Linked DNA regions of Bombyx mori. The protein of the gene in region 3 purifies or fractionates together with the protein of the main gene of each other region. This does not show direct contact. Links are inferred from orthologs where the notes say so. Each region holds a gene or a part of one and is shown on either strand. Other genes may lie near its edges.

Region 1 (4,405 bases), on a different chromosome or scaffold from region 3:
GACCGCAGAAAGAGAAGGCACGAGAAAGATTATGTCGCGCAACCCTAACACGAAGGTACGTCTGGGCTAAGGCTCGCTTTGAATGATTCCGCCAGGCGACATATCGCGCATCGTGGGCAACGAGTGGCGCTCGCTGCCCGCCGCCACCAAGCAGAGCTGGGAGGAGCGAGCCGCGCGCTGCAACGAGGAGACCGCCGCCAGGCTCGCCGACGAGATGCGCGAGTTGGCGCAACACGTTAGTGCCCAAACAACCGCCAAACAGCGACCCAAATACCTTTTGCATCGTCCTCTAACGACAAGAAATGCCATTCTACAATCATATCTATTTCGAAGTGAAACTTCTTTAGGATCGTTGCGATTTCAAACTCGATGAAACGAAAAAATAAGTCCATAGAGACACAAACACATAAATGTATAGGATTCAGCCGGCGAGAGAATGAGATAGAACACATTAGATGTTGTCGGTCTCCTCTTTTTGCGACTCTTCGTAGTATCCCCACTATCGTCTACTAAACATTGTCCATATGTATGCTCCTGTGTAGTGGGATAGTCAGTCACACACTTTTTTTCCTACCTATTCTAGAAACCTCGAGGAGTTATTCTAGATTCACAGTGGGCTATGTCTATGGGTTAATTTACTCATCGAGCCCTTCGTTGCAAGCGACGGGTTCGGCGAGGACGGTGACCCGTACTTGAAGTATCTAAAAGCACCGTTACTGGATCGGGAGGATCCGTAATGACGTGCTTAGGGCGACGTCGACTGTTTACCATTCGGTCCACAGGATCGGGTATGATCATATCAATGATGACGAATCTCGATGACTATAACATTGGCCCCGAATCGGCGGTACTGAGTAAACACAACCCTGTTGAAACTGGAAAGGCACCCGGGCTACAAGTGATCCATGTCTTAAAAAAAAAACAAAAAAAAACCGTGCACGTGAATGAAGTGAAACTTCTTTTTTGATGTGTAGTAATGTGGTTTTCATCCTTAAATCAGATTGCTCTTGTAATAGAGAAGGCTGTGTATAAAAGATACGTCATCTTCAACACTTATATTATATATATTTTAAATTATAGATAGAAAAATAAATATATATATTTTTAAATACTTCATTAAAATATTGGACGCTACTCGTTGTAACAGGAATACTATGCGCTTGCGCTCGAGTGACACGCATTCACTCTCGCTCTGTCTCTTTCTATTCCATGGCAGAGTTAAACGTTTAACGCAACCTTGTTGGAAGTCACATTAGAAGTTTCACTTAAAAAAAAAAGTAAGCACACTCCCGGAACGTGCATGATTCTTATAACAGACAGACCACTGTAGAGGTTTTCAAGCTCGCACCTTAACACTTGATTGTCAAAGAAGAACCAGTCATAAAATGGTCAGCGTTATGCAATATACTTTAATGAAAACATAGACATTAATTTAGTGAATGTATTAATATTTTTAGACAACAATGGAGATGACGTACGAATGCGCCTGGGACACGTGCGACTGTCAGTTCGAGGACCTGACCGACTGCATGGAGCACTGCATCGGCGACGGAGGAAACAGTAAATATCTTTACATTTTACACATTTCATTTGGAAGCTTTGAAAAGTGCTTAGGCTTAAAAAAAAACACTTCTAAGAAATTCGAGTAGATTCTTCTCGAAATATCATGTCTATTCATTACAGTCATTCCGTCAAGTAAATTAAGGGATTTTAAAATTAATAGGAAGTAATTTAGACTTTGATCTCCCATCACAAGGCGAAACAAATGATATAATTTTTGAAGTTATACTTCTACACATATACAAAATTATTTCATATAATTCATACTAAATATTATTAAATTATTAACGTTAAATATTTATTATTAATCATTGAATATTTAAAAAAAAAAAGAAATAATTTTAATAAAAATGAAGTATAACTTCTTACATAAGCACACGCACCCTTTTTTTTTTGTTTGTTTCTATGCTACTCACTCTGTTTGTATTGTATGTCTTAAATTCAGTATTAAAAGTTTATTTTATTCTCTGACTCAACTTGCGTTCTCGTATGGGAGCTAGATAGACTTTTGCTAATGTGTTTTTTGTTCGTACTTTAAAACGCTGCCAGTGATCGGAACGTATCTAGAACCGAAAAGACCTAAACTAGAGCGTAAGTATCAAGTTGAAATCGTTGGAACGGTGATACTCAACTACACAACTCTAAAAATGTGCAGCTAAATTTTATAAATGAGTCGTCTATTATCAAAGGTGGCAATCTGTGCATTTGGACAAAAAAATGTTATTGATATGTCAATACAGATTGATTTGAATATAATCGTCTCCTTCAAAGAATACGGTTCAAAATCTGCATTAAATAAAGGTTAATAGTTAACCTGTTATTTATCTAAGATGTCGTTCGGAAGAGTTTTGTGACTACCAATGGAATACAAAGTCAATAATTCGTTTTTCTGATTTACCAATAATTGTCCAAAAGTCACATTGCCGGCTTTGATAATAGTCGACTCAAATTTGCTTAGAAAAAATTAGTTTTTATTTTATTACGAGCAAAGTTTAGATTAATTAATAGTACCTAATCAGAATAACGTCGTTGTCAAACCAAAATCTGCTATGTGTAAAAACTCTATTTTGAATTAACGAGTAAAAAAAACATTTTCGTATGAAATTTTTATATGAAGGTGAATTTTTATGAACTCTATCAAATGAAAGCTATAGATGAAGTATTAAAGCTATAGACACATAACAGTTTTTCTTATACGGTAGACAGGGCTGTGAACTATACGAAAAGTGCACATAGCAGATTTTGGCTTACAACGACGATATGTTAAAATTTTAAATAGTACAATATATAATAACAAAATCCTTTTTTTGTGTCGATCAAAACAACTTCAACGTAATTTATTTAAAGTTTAAAGTAATTTGTAACATACGGGACTGCATTGAAAACATTCGACAAATATTCGACGATTAACGTGCAAACGAAAACAGTAGTATTTATTACGTATGAAGTCGTCGAAATTTGTCGATGATTCGGTGCGGCCCCGGGGCCCGAGTGCGGCGTTGTTAATGAACGTCCACAATGTGGTCCGCCGGGAACATGCGTGAACGCAGCGGGGCACATCCAGCAACACTACCGCGGCTCGTTCAGCGAGTACCCCTGTCTGTGGCGGAACTGCGCGCGCGTGCGCAAGGGGCAGGCGCCCTTCCCCAACCTGCCGCGCCTGCTGCGACACGTGCGCGACCTGCACGTCAACAAGGGCAACGGACGACTCATGGCCGTGCATGAACGCTCCAGGTACGCACGCACGCACACACGCACGAGCACGCGCGCGCGCACACAAACAAACAAACACACACACACACATGCACTCACACACATGCACACACACACGCACATATATCGAGAGGCGAAAGTCTATTTAGTTAAAGCAACATTTCGCTTCATCATCAGCCTGTATCTCTCCACTGCTCGGTGTGAGCCTCTCCCATAGTCTGCAACTAAATTTTTATTATGATATTTTAAACTTTAAATGGCTCCCCTGTGAAGTTGCTAAAAGGTCGCTTAAAGCACCTTTCTAGCTTTTCACCCCTCGATATATACCACCGCAATGTCCGGCCTTAGATTTAGCTTCACGTTCTTAACGCAGCGTTTGCGTGATCGCGTCCACAAACTTCAGAAGCTTTTGATCATCCAAAATTTTTATCTTTGATTCATTATTTATCATGTTATTATTATTATTATGATTTTATACAGTGAACCCGCAATGTACCGAGAAGTTGTCAGTCTCGTAGAACATTTTCGTTCAAGCTGGCGCAATATGTTTTGATGAAGATGAATAAATAAACCGGACCTCACGGACAAGCTGTTACACAAACAAAATCAGTTTTCACTTTCGATTTTTGAACAGATTTTCAATTTTTTTTTACTATAACACATTTGGGAACATTTTTTTTTAATGAACCTTACAATAAAAACTGTAAGTAACAAAGCAAGTAAAACGAAAGTATATCTTAGATGCCAGTGATTACGGTCGAACTTCGATGACAAAGCAAATATGTACCGCTTACAAAAAAAAACTTATAATAAATTAATAATTTTTTGATTTAGGAATTTCATGCTGTCATCGAAGAAGCCGCGGCCGGCGGTGCGGAGCGGCGTCATGTCCCCCGGAGGTACAAATAGCAGTAGTAATAGCCAAGGTTCGCATGCTGACGTACTAACAAACGGGACCGGCGCTCCACGCACACTAACCGAACAGTGTGCTTAGTGCGAGCTTTTTAACGTTCTCGATAGCGTAAAAGTTAACTCAGATTTGTATGGAGCTAGAACAGCGCCCCTAGCGGCAAACATAGGCAAACTGGTGGTAGGACCTCTTGTGAGTCCGCGCGTGTAGGTACCACCACCT
Region 2 (4,768 bases), on a different chromosome or scaffold from region 3:
CGCTACACACGAATGCACCGGACGTCTTATCCTTTAGGCCACGACGACTACAAATGACTTTCGGTTTGCCTAGAATCTCCAGGCCTACATGCAACTTCAGGTCCTTTGGGTTTTTTTATGTTTCATGGGGTGTACGTAATGTGAGATATTTGGTTCAGGTGATCCTACCATCTACTTTTTACTACCTACCATGACATTATATGAACTCCCAGCATAATTTTCCTGAAGAAGAGTTCTTGTTCAAATGTGGTTTGTTATGAGTCCTGAGCGGTAGTCTTGGCTACGCTGAGTTGGCATTAACGACGGTAACTTTACCCTCATGTGGGCCGTTATAAATCCTAGTTCAATAAAACCAACTTTGATAATGCAAAATTTTTTCTAATTAATAACTTTCAGTACTGTAACATATCTACAAATTATTCTAATTAATCCAATTCAATGACTGTTCCTTGATAGCATGCGATGGATTTAAAAATATAATTGTTACAAAAATCACAAGTCTTTAAATTAATGATGATGTAACATAGTGATGATCATTGATATCAAACAGCCCCAAATTTTTGCATTAAGTGAATTCAAAGAGCTGATAAAGTTATTTGATCAATTTTGATCCTTGTATTATTTCAATTGTTCATTTTAGTAGGATACTGTAACGAATTAGTTATTGTAGTATGTAAAATTTTTGAATTAAAACAAAATATCACTCACTATATTTTATTTTCAAATTATTAGAATGTAGAAGTACACTTTAATAGGTTTTGGGGTTTAAACCTAAGCATATTTATTATAAGGTTTTAAAAATATGCAAATCATTGCTGGGCAGGAGGTTGGAATCCATAACCTGGGTACGGTTGTGGATTACCAGGAGGTGGAGCACCAGGAGCGGGTGCTCGTGTGTAAGGATAAGGGGAGGGTGGATACTGTGCTGGTGGATATCCCTGTTGATATGCATGCGGTGGATACGCACCTCCAGCTGGTGGATAATTTTGAGGTGTTTGAGCATAGGAAGTAGGAGGTGGAGCAGTGGATACTGAAGGAGCTGGACTCCCAGGTTGCGAGGAAGGGTTTGAATAAGGTTGTGTAACAGGTGTATAAGGTGATGGTTGTGAAGGAGCCTGATATTGTTGTCCAGTAGGACCACTTGGTGTTTGTCCACCAGATGAGGCAGTTGTAAGGACACTACTTCCATGGGGACTAGTATTATAGGTTGGTGACTGGGCAGATGGTGATCCATAAGTGGAACTTGTAGGATTCTGTTGAGAATAATTGTTTGGGGGTTGAGGAGAACGGTTAGGCTGAGAAGTTGATGTTGAACTATATGCAGATGTTGGAGTTGTATTTGGAAATGGTTGTGACTGGTATGGTTGTGGTGGTTGAGCAGTTGAATTATAAGTACTTACACCAACATTAGAATAATTTGAGCCAGCTTGACCTGGAGGATATGTGGAATTTCCAGTGTATGGTGGTTGAGATGAGCCACGCACAGGATATGGAGCACCAGCTGAAACTGGGCTACCAGAAGGTGGTGCATAAGGTTGTTGAGACGAAGAAGGTGGATAGTTAGATCCTGGATGAGTAGATGGTGGATAGTTATTTGGAGTTGTTGTAATTGGTGGACCATAATTAGAGTTCGGAGGATAGCCTTGGGGTTGGGATGGATTAGGTGGAGCATATCCTTGATTATTAGAGCCATATCCCGTTTGTGGAGGGTACCCTCCAGGTGCATTCTGATACTGGCCTTGATATTGACCTTGACCATAAGGTCTTTGAGCATATGATTGAGTTGGTCTTGTTGGTGTTGAACTAACACTTGAAGGTTGTCTGTAGGCTTGTTGACCACCAGCAGATGCATCAGTTGCATTGGTTGGGGGATTTATAGGTGGAGATTGAGATACATTTCCGGTGGCTAATTGATGAGGAGGCTGAAAGTAAAAAAAACAACTAATTCTATATATTCTTTCAGTACAAAATAACTTTTAAGTAGAATATCTCATCAGATAAGCCCTTTGATGAACCAAACCATATAATCATGGAATGGAACAGGCTGCCAGAAGTTGTATCAGCACCTAAATTGAACTACTTTGTGAACAAGCTAGACTAATTATCCTAATTTCAAGATACACAAATCATCTCTAGTGTTTAACATAATGAAAATTAATAGATTATTTTGCTTTATTTGATTCCTTTCTGTCACTTTCTCTCAACTAATCAGAATTTTTCCATTTCAAACAAACATAAATTTTATTGTTTTAAATAATGTCTCCACTGAAAATAAAGTCCAAAAATCCACGTTCATTCCGGTTTGAAGGGTGACGCCTTCGTTATGTTAAAGGAGTCCGCTAAACACCAGGTTGGCCATGCCATGTATGTCTTAATGAAGTAATAAAAAAATGTTACCGGTAAAATGCTCTGTATATTTTGGTTAGCGTCAGCTACAGATGCGAGATAAACCAAGTTCCTGTGCAGTATTTGCTGATATTGGTGACATTCCATTATTTGCCCTTTTGCTTGGTATTCTTGTATTGTTTGTATTAGATGAGCATTTTCATCCAACATTTTTTGTATTTGTGCCGGACTTAAAGGAGGACGATTTCCTCGTGCCGCAAACGCTACAGACATTGTGTAATTTAAAATATTGCTATTATTCCTCTATTACATAGCACTTCAGGTAGAAAATTCATAGATTTTTAATTTACTTGATTTTATTTTTTGTTTGATTTGTTCAGAAATTGGACAAACCAAAGAGTTTAATAGCAGAGTAGGGGCAGAGGGAACATAGGCTATACGAAAGTTAGATGCAAAAGCTAAAGCACTGAAAAATAAAATAAATCATAACGCAAGAATTATCTTTATTTTTGATTGAAATTGTATAAAGAGAATTGAATAAAATAAACTAATTAAATTAATTTGTCGGCTAAATAGGAGTAATTTGCTGAGACTTTTAGAAAAGCTACTTGTGGTAGGGCGTGTTTTGAGTCCGTACGAGTTAGTAACATTATTCTTTAATGTCGTAAGATTCATTCTATATACTATCATTGTGTAAAATTGCACAAATGCTTATTACGGAAAACAAATCGAAAGATGAAGTTTGTCGGGTTCTACAAAAAAACCATGTGACAATTTATTTAGTAACTAAATTTAGAACAGTGTAATCAGAAGCTTCTAAATTTGCTTCTGAATTCAGTCGACTAAATTTAGCCAGTGTAATAAGCCTTTAACCTTTGTCTCAAAATCAATTTCATTTCATTCACAATTTCGTCTTTTTTTCTCTCCTAACTATTCACTGGGATATTAAGAGGCTATTCCAGCTACACCCGGACGGGTAAGTGAGCTCCCGAACTCATCGTCGTAATCGACGAGCTCTGTGACCGATGCTTCAGGGTCCTAAAAGTACCGAGAGTCAATCCGGGGGATCCGAAAAGACATATTTCGGGCAACGGCGCCTTGCGTTGCCCAGTCGCGGTCGGATAAGTAATTAGCGGCGGCCACGATAAGAGGGTTATCGGATCGCCCCGCTTTGACGAAGTAGCGTTCTGGCGCTTCCGTAAGATGCTTACGAATCGGTATTAGATTCAGGTCATCGTGAAGATCTACGTTCCTCATATGCTACGGTTCTCTGACGGCTATCCTTAAGAAACGGGGTTTTATTACATGGAAAGGGTTAATGTGTGTACGGGCCGCGTGAGCAAACACTACACTTGCATAGGTCGTGACAGAACGTATGCAAGTTTTGTAGAGTAATACTTTGTTATGAAGGCACAATTTTTACTTCGCTTGCAGGTCATGGGGTAGAAGAACGCGGGTCGGTCGCGTACTGACTTAATGTGGGACCCGAATGTCATCCCCCTGTCGAAAGTGACGCTTTAGTAGTTAGCTTTCGAAGTCCACGGTATGGGCTGGCCAAGGATTTTAATAGCGGAAATGAAGTTACCGCGCCTAATTGGTGATAAGATACTAGCAGTAGTCTCGGGAGGACGACCCCTTTTGGAGAGCACGGCTGTGATTTTTGTGTGGTTGATATCAATGCACCAATGTGCCACTTCCGGAACCACTATCCTAAATTGGTGGCCACGATTTGGAGTTTACTATGCATGAACGACATCTTCCTACTCGTGTAAATCGGGCGGGCGACCGAGGTGTATCGTCAATAAACAGGCTAAACAGTAGCGGGGAGAGAACGGAGCCTTACGGGACTCCGGCCGAGATATGTCGCGGGAGAGAGCGAGTTTCCTCGACTCGATATTGAAACGAACGGTTTGACAACTCAAGTCTCGACAAGTTAAGACAAGTCTCGTACGATGAGCACGAGACTGTCTGGCATGACCATGTTAAACAATTCGTAAATTAAGCCGTTGTGCCAGACTTTGTCGAACGCCTTCACGATATCGATGAAGAGGGCTCCCGTGGTGACGGGCCTGCATCTATTTAGCCCTACTAAGATGTCCTCCGCGAGGCGGTGCACTTGCTGAATGGACGAATGTTTCGCACGGAATCCGATCTATTCGTCGATCAGGATACCTTTCGAGGTGATGAAGTCCCAAAAGCGATTACGTAATAGTCGCTCGTGTAATTTGCCTAATACTGGGAGGAAGCTGATCAGGTGGTAACTCGCGGAATCATTTTTAGGTTTTCCAGGTTTGTGTATGCCGATAAAGTCCGCTTATTTCCACACCGCGGTAATGGGTGTTAAAGCGTCCGAAGGTGACTGGATAGCTCTGCACTTTACCTCCCTGTCGACTAACTCTGTGTCTTCGGGGTCCACGGCTCG
Region 3 (5,144 bases):
TATCTATGGGCTGAGAGTTTCGTTTACATCATAGAGATCCAATACTTGCTCTCAGTATTTAGCAGCAATAGTTAATAAAATAAATAAAAAACATTATTTTAAATGTATAATTGTACACAGAAATTGCAATTTGTTTCTTTAAGCATTTTTATATGTTACTAGCTGTGCCCGTCTGCTTCTCTGGGCATTTAAAATAAACATTATTATTTCTCACCCCCATAAAGATTCTCATCGTCAACACCCCCACAACTGGTGTAGGGAGTCCAACACTCATATAAATATTAGCCCATCTATTAAGTACATGTATTTTCTACATGGATACTAAGTTTCAAGTCAATCGGATGCATGGTTCAGTAGTTATAATGGAACATCCGTAAAAACCACTGTAGTGTATATTAAGTATAGAAGTATAGATTTTGCATCAGCAGACAGCCTCTCATACCTTTTCAGCTTCATATTCATCGACAAACCCAGCTTTCTCAGATTCAGGCAGGTCCCTCCACATGCCGCCTATTATACGTCCAATTTCCCATAGTTTGAGGTCTGGATGTGCTGCTTTTACACTGTCCCATACACGGCGTGAGTACCTCATGTACGGCATGAGAGGTTTTTCTGGAGGTTTTGGTGGCTTTGGTAGTCCGGCTCCCTGGGGTAGTAATAAATATGGTTTGTTATATAGGAAACAAAAATTTTATAAGTTAAGACAGTTTTTGGTATTTGTGGCTTTTTGTATTAATGTAAAGTGTATTTTGAATACAGTAACAAATAGTGATACAGATTATACTTACAACACCAGCACCTTTCCCGATTTTCTGAGGTTGGAATCCAGGATGTGAATGTACGGTGGATACAAATGGACTTGTCTTATCATCTTTGGCACCTTGTGAGGGCTGTGAGGCGGAGGCCGCGCGGCGGGCGCCCTCTGCAGCGAAACGGCCCTGTTGCTGGGGGGCGTGCCACGGGCCGTAGCCCCCCGGGGGACCCGGGTGAACCATGCCCCCCCCACCTTGGTATTGCGGGTGGTACTGATATTGGTTATGGTGCGGCGACGGTGCATTCATACCGCCTTCAAGCCAAGCAGCGGGCGGCAATACAATGAAAGAAAAAAAAAACAAAAAGCGTAAAGGAGCAGGACGGGAGGGGAGCCAACAAAAATTCAAATATGCACTAAAACATCTAGAAAAATTAAAAAATAAACGTTAAGAAAGTTATTTGCGAGCAATCTAGCTGTAAATTTTTTAGTAGGCTTTAATTAGCGAAAGACTAAAGAGGTGATGGCTTGTGTCGTTGAGAGAAGAGAAAAATTTTGTGCAATTATCTTTTTTAATAACCCCACAGAAATACCTAAGTTTTGAAACGAAAATGGGTGTGTGATACAAAATTTTGAATAGAAAGTCAATTTAGATTGTGGCATTACCTTTCATCATGCCGAAACTCATTGGGGGGCCCGCAATCATGTAGTCTGTATCATTATAACAAAACATGAAACAAAACCAACATAATGGAATGTAAGTCTAAAATGCATTAGGATAAAATTAAAGTAAGAAAAAAATAAGTTTTGTTACTGTAGCTTAAAAGCTAAGATATGGGAGTCATGCTCTAAGTAAAAAGTTTAAATGCAGTTAGATACCAGCTATATCAGGTACAGTTCTCAGCACTGCCAAGCTTGCAATGGCGACAACTTCACATGTTAATGAAGTTAGTATCTAACAACATTCTTACTAACAATAAACAATCTATTTGATAAAATACTATAACTATTGCCATTAATATTTTATTAAAAAAATCTAAACGTAATTAGCACTGCTATCATTACATTAGCTTATTACTAACTTATTTCTTACTAATTTATAATTTAAAATATACAGTGTAATGTGTTGATTGCCATCTTGTCCCTCCATTATTTTGCTGCAAGAAAACTCACAGCATATCAATGTAAATATGAAGAGGTCTCAGGAAACATTTAAATCAGATCAGACTTAAATTAAGAGAAAATCCAACAAAGTTTATATAAAAGGAAACATTTTTAAAAGATTAGTATTATCTAGTTTTTAAATAAAATTAGCTGTTTAGAACATATCATTACAAATTCAATGGCAGTCAACATTCACTACATTAATAATATTTAAAATTTAATAAAATATATATTTAAATTTTTTGTGATTATAGTTGGTAATACAAACGCGGATTGCTCTGAGGACTGGGCATTGACATCGAAGTGTTTTGTTTGTAATTGTTTTGTGTAGCCATTGGCACACCTGAAACCAAATTTTGAATTTATTCCAAAACAAGCATATTTATTGGCTTATCATTCTTTATTTTTTGTACTCATAGTTTATGAGCTAGTGTCATAGTCATATTATACATTTTATAAAACAAGTCTCACACCATTACAAACTCAATACTGGTGAAACTACTTCACAAGCACTTCTTGTTCAAATTTTTGGGATGTATATAATTACAGAAAGAACACCAGCTGTATAATGGGGATTATTTAAAAAATGTATTGCAGTTATGGCAATTTAATTTCAATCCCCTCGTTTGCATTTTATTAAGTTTCATTTAATGATTTCTAGTCTACATAAGGTGTTTGGGAAAACAAACAAAAATATATCCTTAATCTGTACTTAATACTTTTAATTAAAATGTTATAGGTGGAAATCACAAAACTGAAAAAAACAAGAGACGACGTCGATATTGAAAGTCAGTTCTTTTTTATTCGCTTCATTTTATAACCACTTTGTTGAAGGGAGGCTGAATGACTAATATTACAAATGATTAAATTGGAGTCTTATTTGGATAGGCTAATATAAAGAGGCTATGATCACGCTGTGTTTGCATTGTTAAACATCTTAATGAAAATGCCAACAGTACGGATGTATTTGAATTTAAAGATAACTTAAAATGTTTAATTTTTTTGAATGAAATTGCTTGGAAATAATGCAACAATTATTTTGTAAGTCTGTTTACTTTTTTGTTGTAATACGAACAAATCCGCTATCAAGATACATTGTTTATAAAAATAAAGTTTTATGCAACCATATTACTTACTTACTTATTTAGTAAAAACCAAAGAGTAAAGTAAGTTAAAACTTAATAAATGATGTATCGTACTACCTTATCGCTTTTATTGAAAGTTCAAGCTTGGTTTAATTTTTAAAAGGCTCGATAATGGCAACGCGTCTTTTTCATTAAAATACTAACGGGCCTATTTCAATCTCCATCTTTCATTCCATTTTTAATTTAATTGAACCAAATGACAATTGACGTTGTCAACGTAGATTAGAGTAGAGCAATTTATGGTATCAAATGTAACACATAGTTTTGTTAGTCGATTATTAAATTGTACGTTCATTCTAAGGTCGTTTTAAAATGTTGATTTTGGATCTCTTCGCGTTTAATTGTGTAAAAATTGTGATTTGTTAACTATTTGGCATTAGTGAAAGTGTATGTACAAATGTGGGAAAATTAAACACAAGCCACCGAACGTGGCATCTCTGGTTTTTCGAAAAAATCCACCGAACTTTCAGTAAATAACCACTATTTTGCTGCTCGTGGGTTGTTAGGTCTCTTTGGAGGCGCTCGGGCAGTTGTTAGCAAATCCTGGCTGAGTGTTTGCTCGCCGATCTGTCCTGGCGAAATTGAAAAGGCCTCCGGGCCACCAGTAATCTCTCAATCCTAAAAAAACTGTATTTTACGGAGACTTTACTTTTTTTTATCCCATTTCATGTCGTCTCTTTTAATTTCATCCCAATTGATTGAAGACTCAAATTAATGAAGTTAATCTCATATCGCACAGCATTTTTCATATAACGGAATAATAGAAGCTTTTATATACTCTGTATGTAGAAATCTTTTAAATTAAACTAAGATAAAAGAGAATGTAACTATTGGCCATAAATAAACATTAAGAAAACAAATGTCAGATTTAAAAAAAAAAGAAGAAGAAGAAAGAAGCTGGTTTGGAAGATAAAATGCCAACACAACGATACACGATAAAGGGGGTAATCGGATCGCGTTGTTGTTATGAAAAAACGTTACATTGTCTTCTTTTTTTTTACTTGCAAATAACGCCCTTGATGATTATTGTTGCTATCGTCACACACAATTTACATTAGAGCAATACCTACGCTAATGGTAAATACATAAAGATAATAACTGCTAGAATGCAGTTAGTTTCTTCAAAGCGCACTGAACAAATTTTTAAATTAATTTATTAAAAAATTAAATGTTATTTAAGTCACACCAAAATACATTATAAATACATGCAATGGTCATATAAACTCATTCACAACGAAGGGCTGTTTTGACTATGGGCGGAGTGCAAGTGAGCATTCATGGATTCGATAAAAGCTATCTAGCATATGAAGCTAGGGTACCTTTTAATATTATTCCGAGATAGGTGTGGCTTGACATTGCGAAATTAGTAGATGATAATAATGCTAATTGTCATGTTACCAGGTTTCATTGTTTGAGCCTATCTGTACATGTATAAACTAAGGCTACGTATTGTGTATGACTTATGTCTGCGGCTTTGGAAACAGAGTATTCAGATTCACTAGTGCGGGACAAACACGCTGATCGAGACTGTGGTTTTTTTTATTGCTTAGATGGGTGGACGACCTCACAGCCCAATTATATAATTGTGTACTATTGTTTTAATTCAGATGGTCCAACTCGGCTCTGTCTTCAGTTCTTCTTCGCTAGAGGCGGCGTACGAAGGGAAGCTGTTCCAACTCCATACAAATTTGATTTAATTTCTACGCGATCGAGCAGTTAAAACCCTCGCACTAAGCACACACGAGGTAGATCGTTGGCGACGTCCATCGATGGAAAACTGGTAACGATTTACATAATCTACATAAATCAATCGCTTTTTTAACGTTTCCATTATAAGACTAAATCTAAACGTATTTTAACTAAAAACTCGTTATTAAGATCCTAGAGGCTCCTTATTATCTAGAGGCTATTAAAGACATTTTCATCTTGAGTGAATTTAATCATGCAACATTGTTATAACTACTTTTACTGGTGGTAGGACCTCTTGTAAGTCCGTGCGGGTAGGTACCACCGCCCTGCCTATTTCTGCCGTGAAGCAGTAATGCGTTTCGGTTTGAAGGGTGGGGCAGCCGTTGTAACTATAC
Region 4 (3,157 bases), about 1.6 Mb from region 3:
TGTCGAACCCGTCACTTGCGACGAAGGCTCGACGAGCGAACTAGCCCACAGACACAGCCCCCTGAGTTTCTTACTGGATCTTCTAAGTGGGTCGCGTTTCAGATCCGGTGGTAGATTCTGCGAAGCACTGCTCTTGCTAGGGTCAGTGTTAGCAACACTCCGGTTTGAACCCCGTGAGCTCACCTACATGTTAGGGCGAAGCTGTAATAGCCTTCCAAGGCTATCTGCATAGGTAGGAAAAAAAAAGTTGCGTCTATGAAATTCTGTCAATAGCACTAGATGTGCCGGGCCCTAGACGAAAGTAAACAGGAATAAGTAATATAGTTTTTAGTGACACCTTTAAAACACGAGGCTTAAGTATGAAATTTACTTCCATTATTTTCATCCAACTCTGAGCTGTGTACGAAGTTTTGAGTTTTGATTAGGTAGATCATTTGAAAAAAAATGGAAAAAGAAAAGAAAGAAAGAAAAATACTTTTTAAATTTTTTTAATTGCTTAGATGAGTGGACGAACTCACAGCCCACCTGATGTTAAGCGGTTACTGGAGCCTATAGACATCTACGACGTAAACTACCACCAGTAATTCAACCGATGTGTCATACGGATGGAAAACGTTAAAAATCTTTCTATGTGAATTAAAAAAAACTTCTATATAACGGGCTATATATCGATTCTGACGTTGACATCGCTACACACACTTGTATGATACAATATATAATAAACTGCCCCGAAACTCAATGTCAAGTGGGTACGGGGCGACGAATTACAACCTAATTCGTTTCACTAATTCAGGGAAAAATAAAAACAAAAATCCATTTAACTCGGTTAACTGAATAGCCAATACAAAATCTAGCGGAACTACGCCGCAAAATACCTGAAACTGCGGAATAAAGAGACTCAAAAAGTTACACGCGATTCGTTAAAAAAAACTTTTCTGAGGCGATTTTAAAATATCAGTATGTGACTAGTATTTGTTTTTAAGAAATATCGATTTTATTCGGTTTTTAAATGTAATAATAATCGATTTGAATTTAACGTAACGTTGTGTACAAAAGTGAGTTACACGGTTTGTCAATGTTAGGGTTTCTTGCGGAACATACGGGTGGTTACCGCCACCCTGCCCTTAAAATCTCCATAACAGTCTTTAGTTTAGATAAGAAGGGCGGGTTAGTCGTTTATACAACACAAATGAGACCTTCCAGTACGTGTATCGAGGTGGGTGATGGGACGGGAAGGGATTGTGACGTCCAACTGTCTTTATACTATAACTAGCTGTACCCGTCCGCATCGCTGGGCACTTAAAATTAACATTATTATTTCTCATCCCCAAAAAGATTCTCATCATTAATGCCCCCGCAACTGGTGTAGGGAGTCCAATGCTGATATAAATATTAGCCTATCCATTAAGTACATGTATTTTCTACATGGATACCAAGTTTCAAGTCAATCGGATGCATGGTTCAGTAGTTATAACGGAAAATCCGTAAAAACAACTGTAGATTTATATATTAGTATAGATTATTAAGAGATTGATCTACATGTCGGCTCCATTATCGTGTTTCTTGCTTTGCTAATCTCAAACTTTTGTATCTATTGGTTCTTTATTCGTTCGTGCTTTCATTGAATGCTTTCGGAAAGTTATTACGCAAATATAGAAGTATACAACTACAATTGTTAAATAAAAATATGATATATAGACAACAAAAAAAAAACTAGATTTTTCATGAAACATGCATGCTCTTATAGGTTGGGAAATTATATGTAATAAAATGGTGTGAAGATATTTTTGTTGTTAAATTTACGATTTGACGATGTCGTTTTTTGTTTGTTTTTTAAATAGTATTGTTAATGTGGAAAGTCCTCGGTAATGTATTTTTGTGTTGATCCAGGACGAAAATGAAGGTCCCGTAACGAAGAGCATTAGATTGACGGCCGCCCTCATCCTGAGGAATATCGTCATTTATTCGAATACAGGAAGACGGTGAGTTTTAAATTTAAATATGTTGTTATCTCCGACTTTTCATACCCGATCCGGTGGAATGGTAAACAGTCGACGTGGTCCTAAACACGTCATTACGGATCCTCCTGATCCATTAACGGTGCTTTTAGGCATCACAAGCACCGGTCACCGTCCTCTTCAAACCCGTCGCTTGCGACTAAGGGTTCGACGAGTGAATTAACCCACAGACACAGCCCACTGAGTTTCTCGCCGGATCTTCTCAGTGGCTTGCATTTCCGATCCGGTGGTAGATTTTGCGAAGCACTGCTCTTGCTAGGGCCAGTGTTAGCAACACTCCGGTTTGAGGTCACTTACTAGTTAAGGTTACGCTTATATAGCCTCTCAAGGCTATCAGCTTAGGTAGGAAAAAAAAACCTTATTTATTTACGTTGTTTCAGGCAATTGCGTTCGTACGAATCGCATTTGTCCGCGATCGCGCTCAGCACGGTCGAAGCCTCGCGCACGATCGCCCAAGTATTGTACGACATGAACAACATATGAGAATCGCTTAATGGGCACAAGCCCTGAGCGGACGTGTGAAAAGCAGAGCCGCGTTGAAAAAAAAAAATTTTTTTTTCTCTAACGTCATATAAAATCGGCCTTAAGCGTGGCACAACAAGAAATAAAATTTTTTTTTTTCTCTTTAACGTCCTATAAAATCGGCCTTAAGCGTGGCGCAACACGAACTGTCATTTTGTATGTCTAATACATGATCAGTATTTTATGAAATTTTTAAACGGGTCACGTTCGATTGTGTGTATATGTCTTATTAGTGCGCGAACGAGTGGATCTAGACTTTAAGTATAGTTTTTTTTTAATAAAGTAAGGTATAATGATAATTGTTTTGTATGAATGAAACTTGTTCTACTGTAAGTTTGAGAAAAAAAAAAACAATAGAGACTTATGTTTCATTGACAACTAATTCGAACGAAGTTCCGTTTGCTTTATCTTTTTTGTGTTTGTAATAAGTAAAGATTAAAAAAAATAAAAAAATAAAGAGTTAGTTAAACGATGCATAAAATGAATGAAATGTGTATGAAGTTGGTCTTGCAATTTTTTTTTCGAGAAGATGAAAAAAAAATATGTCACTATTTTATTATTTATTATAAAAATATAAAATATTTTTGCATTTTCTCAAATAGGACGGTAAGCTGAAT

Evidence for each region.
Region 1: the proteins of SWI/SNF-related matrix-associated actin-dependent regulator of chromatin subfamily E member 1 (region 3) and protein polybromo-1 purify together in Homo sapiens (affinity purification with western blotting; 9 studies listed by BioGRID and IntAct, counting the BioPlex papers as one, with this or other methods). This does not show direct contact. The link is inferred for Bombyx mori from reciprocal best matches to the Homo sapiens genes SMARCE1 and PBRM1.
Region 2: the proteins of SWI/SNF-related matrix-associated actin-dependent regulator of chromatin subfamily E member 1 (region 3) and protein SSXT purify together in Homo sapiens (affinity purification with mass spectrometry; 4 studies listed by BioGRID and IntAct, counting the BioPlex papers as one, with this or other methods). This does not show direct contact. The link is inferred for Bombyx mori from reciprocal best matches to the Homo sapiens genes SMARCE1 and SS18.
Region 4: the proteins of SWI/SNF-related matrix-associated actin-dependent regulator of chromatin subfamily E member 1 (region 3) and AT-rich interactive domain-containing protein 2 purify together in Homo sapiens (affinity purification with mass spectrometry; 7 studies listed by BioGRID and IntAct, counting the BioPlex papers as one, with this or other methods). This does not show direct contact. The link is inferred for Bombyx mori from reciprocal best matches to the Homo sapiens genes SMARCE1 and ARID2.

What each region holds. Positions count from the first base shown.
Region 1 is NC_085132.1:4,583,021-4,587,425, reverse strand, and holds part of protein polybromo-1, read left to right. Parts: intron 1-95; coding exon 96-235; intron 236-1,457; coding exon 1,458-1,560; coding exon of another isoform or gene 1,561-1,561; intron 1,562-2,109; coding exon 2,110-2,151; intron 2,152-3,093; coding exon of another isoform or gene 3,094-3,110; coding exon 3,111-3,294; intron 3,295-4,107; coding exon 4,108-4,199; intron 4,200-4,405. UniProt on the Homo sapiens protein: Involved in transcriptional activation and repression of select genes by chromatin remodeling (alteration of DNA-nucleosome topology). Required for the stability of the SWI/SNF chromatin remodeling complex SWI/SNF-B (PBAF).
Region 2 is NC_085110.1:12,910,516-12,915,283, reverse strand, and holds protein SSXT, read right to left. Parts: upstream 2,935-4,768; 5' UTR 2,620-2,934; coding exon 2,398-2,619; intron 1,923-2,397; coding exon 810-1,922; 3' UTR 701-809; downstream 1-700. UniProt on the Homo sapiens protein: Appears to function synergistically with RBM14 as a transcriptional coactivator. Isoform 1 and isoform 2 function in nuclear receptor coactivation. Isoform 1 and isoform 2 function in general transcriptional coactivation.
Region 3 is NC_085120.1:6,523,004-6,528,147, forward strand, and holds the start of SWI/SNF-related matrix-associated actin-dependent regulator of chromatin subfamily E member 1, read right to left. Parts: upstream 3,277-5,144; 5' UTR 3,118-3,276; exon of another isoform or gene 3,056-3,117; intron 2,259-3,055; 5' UTR 2,251-2,258; coding exon 2,184-2,250; intron 1,463-2,183; coding exon 1,418-1,462; intron 1,067-1,417; coding exon 789-1,066; intron 647-788; coding exon 443-646; intron 1-442. UniProt on the Homo sapiens protein: Involved in transcriptional activation and repression of select genes by chromatin remodeling (alteration of DNA-nucleosome topology).
Region 4 is NC_085120.1:8,117,678-8,120,834, forward strand, and holds part of AT-rich interactive domain-containing protein 2, read left to right. Parts: intron 1-1,890; coding exon 1,891-1,982; intron 1,983-2,398; coding exon 2,399-2,501; 3' UTR 2,502-3,157. UniProt on the Homo sapiens protein: Involved in transcriptional activation and repression of select genes by chromatin remodeling (alteration of DNA-nucleosome topology). Required for the stability of the SWI/SNF chromatin remodeling complex SWI/SNF-B (PBAF).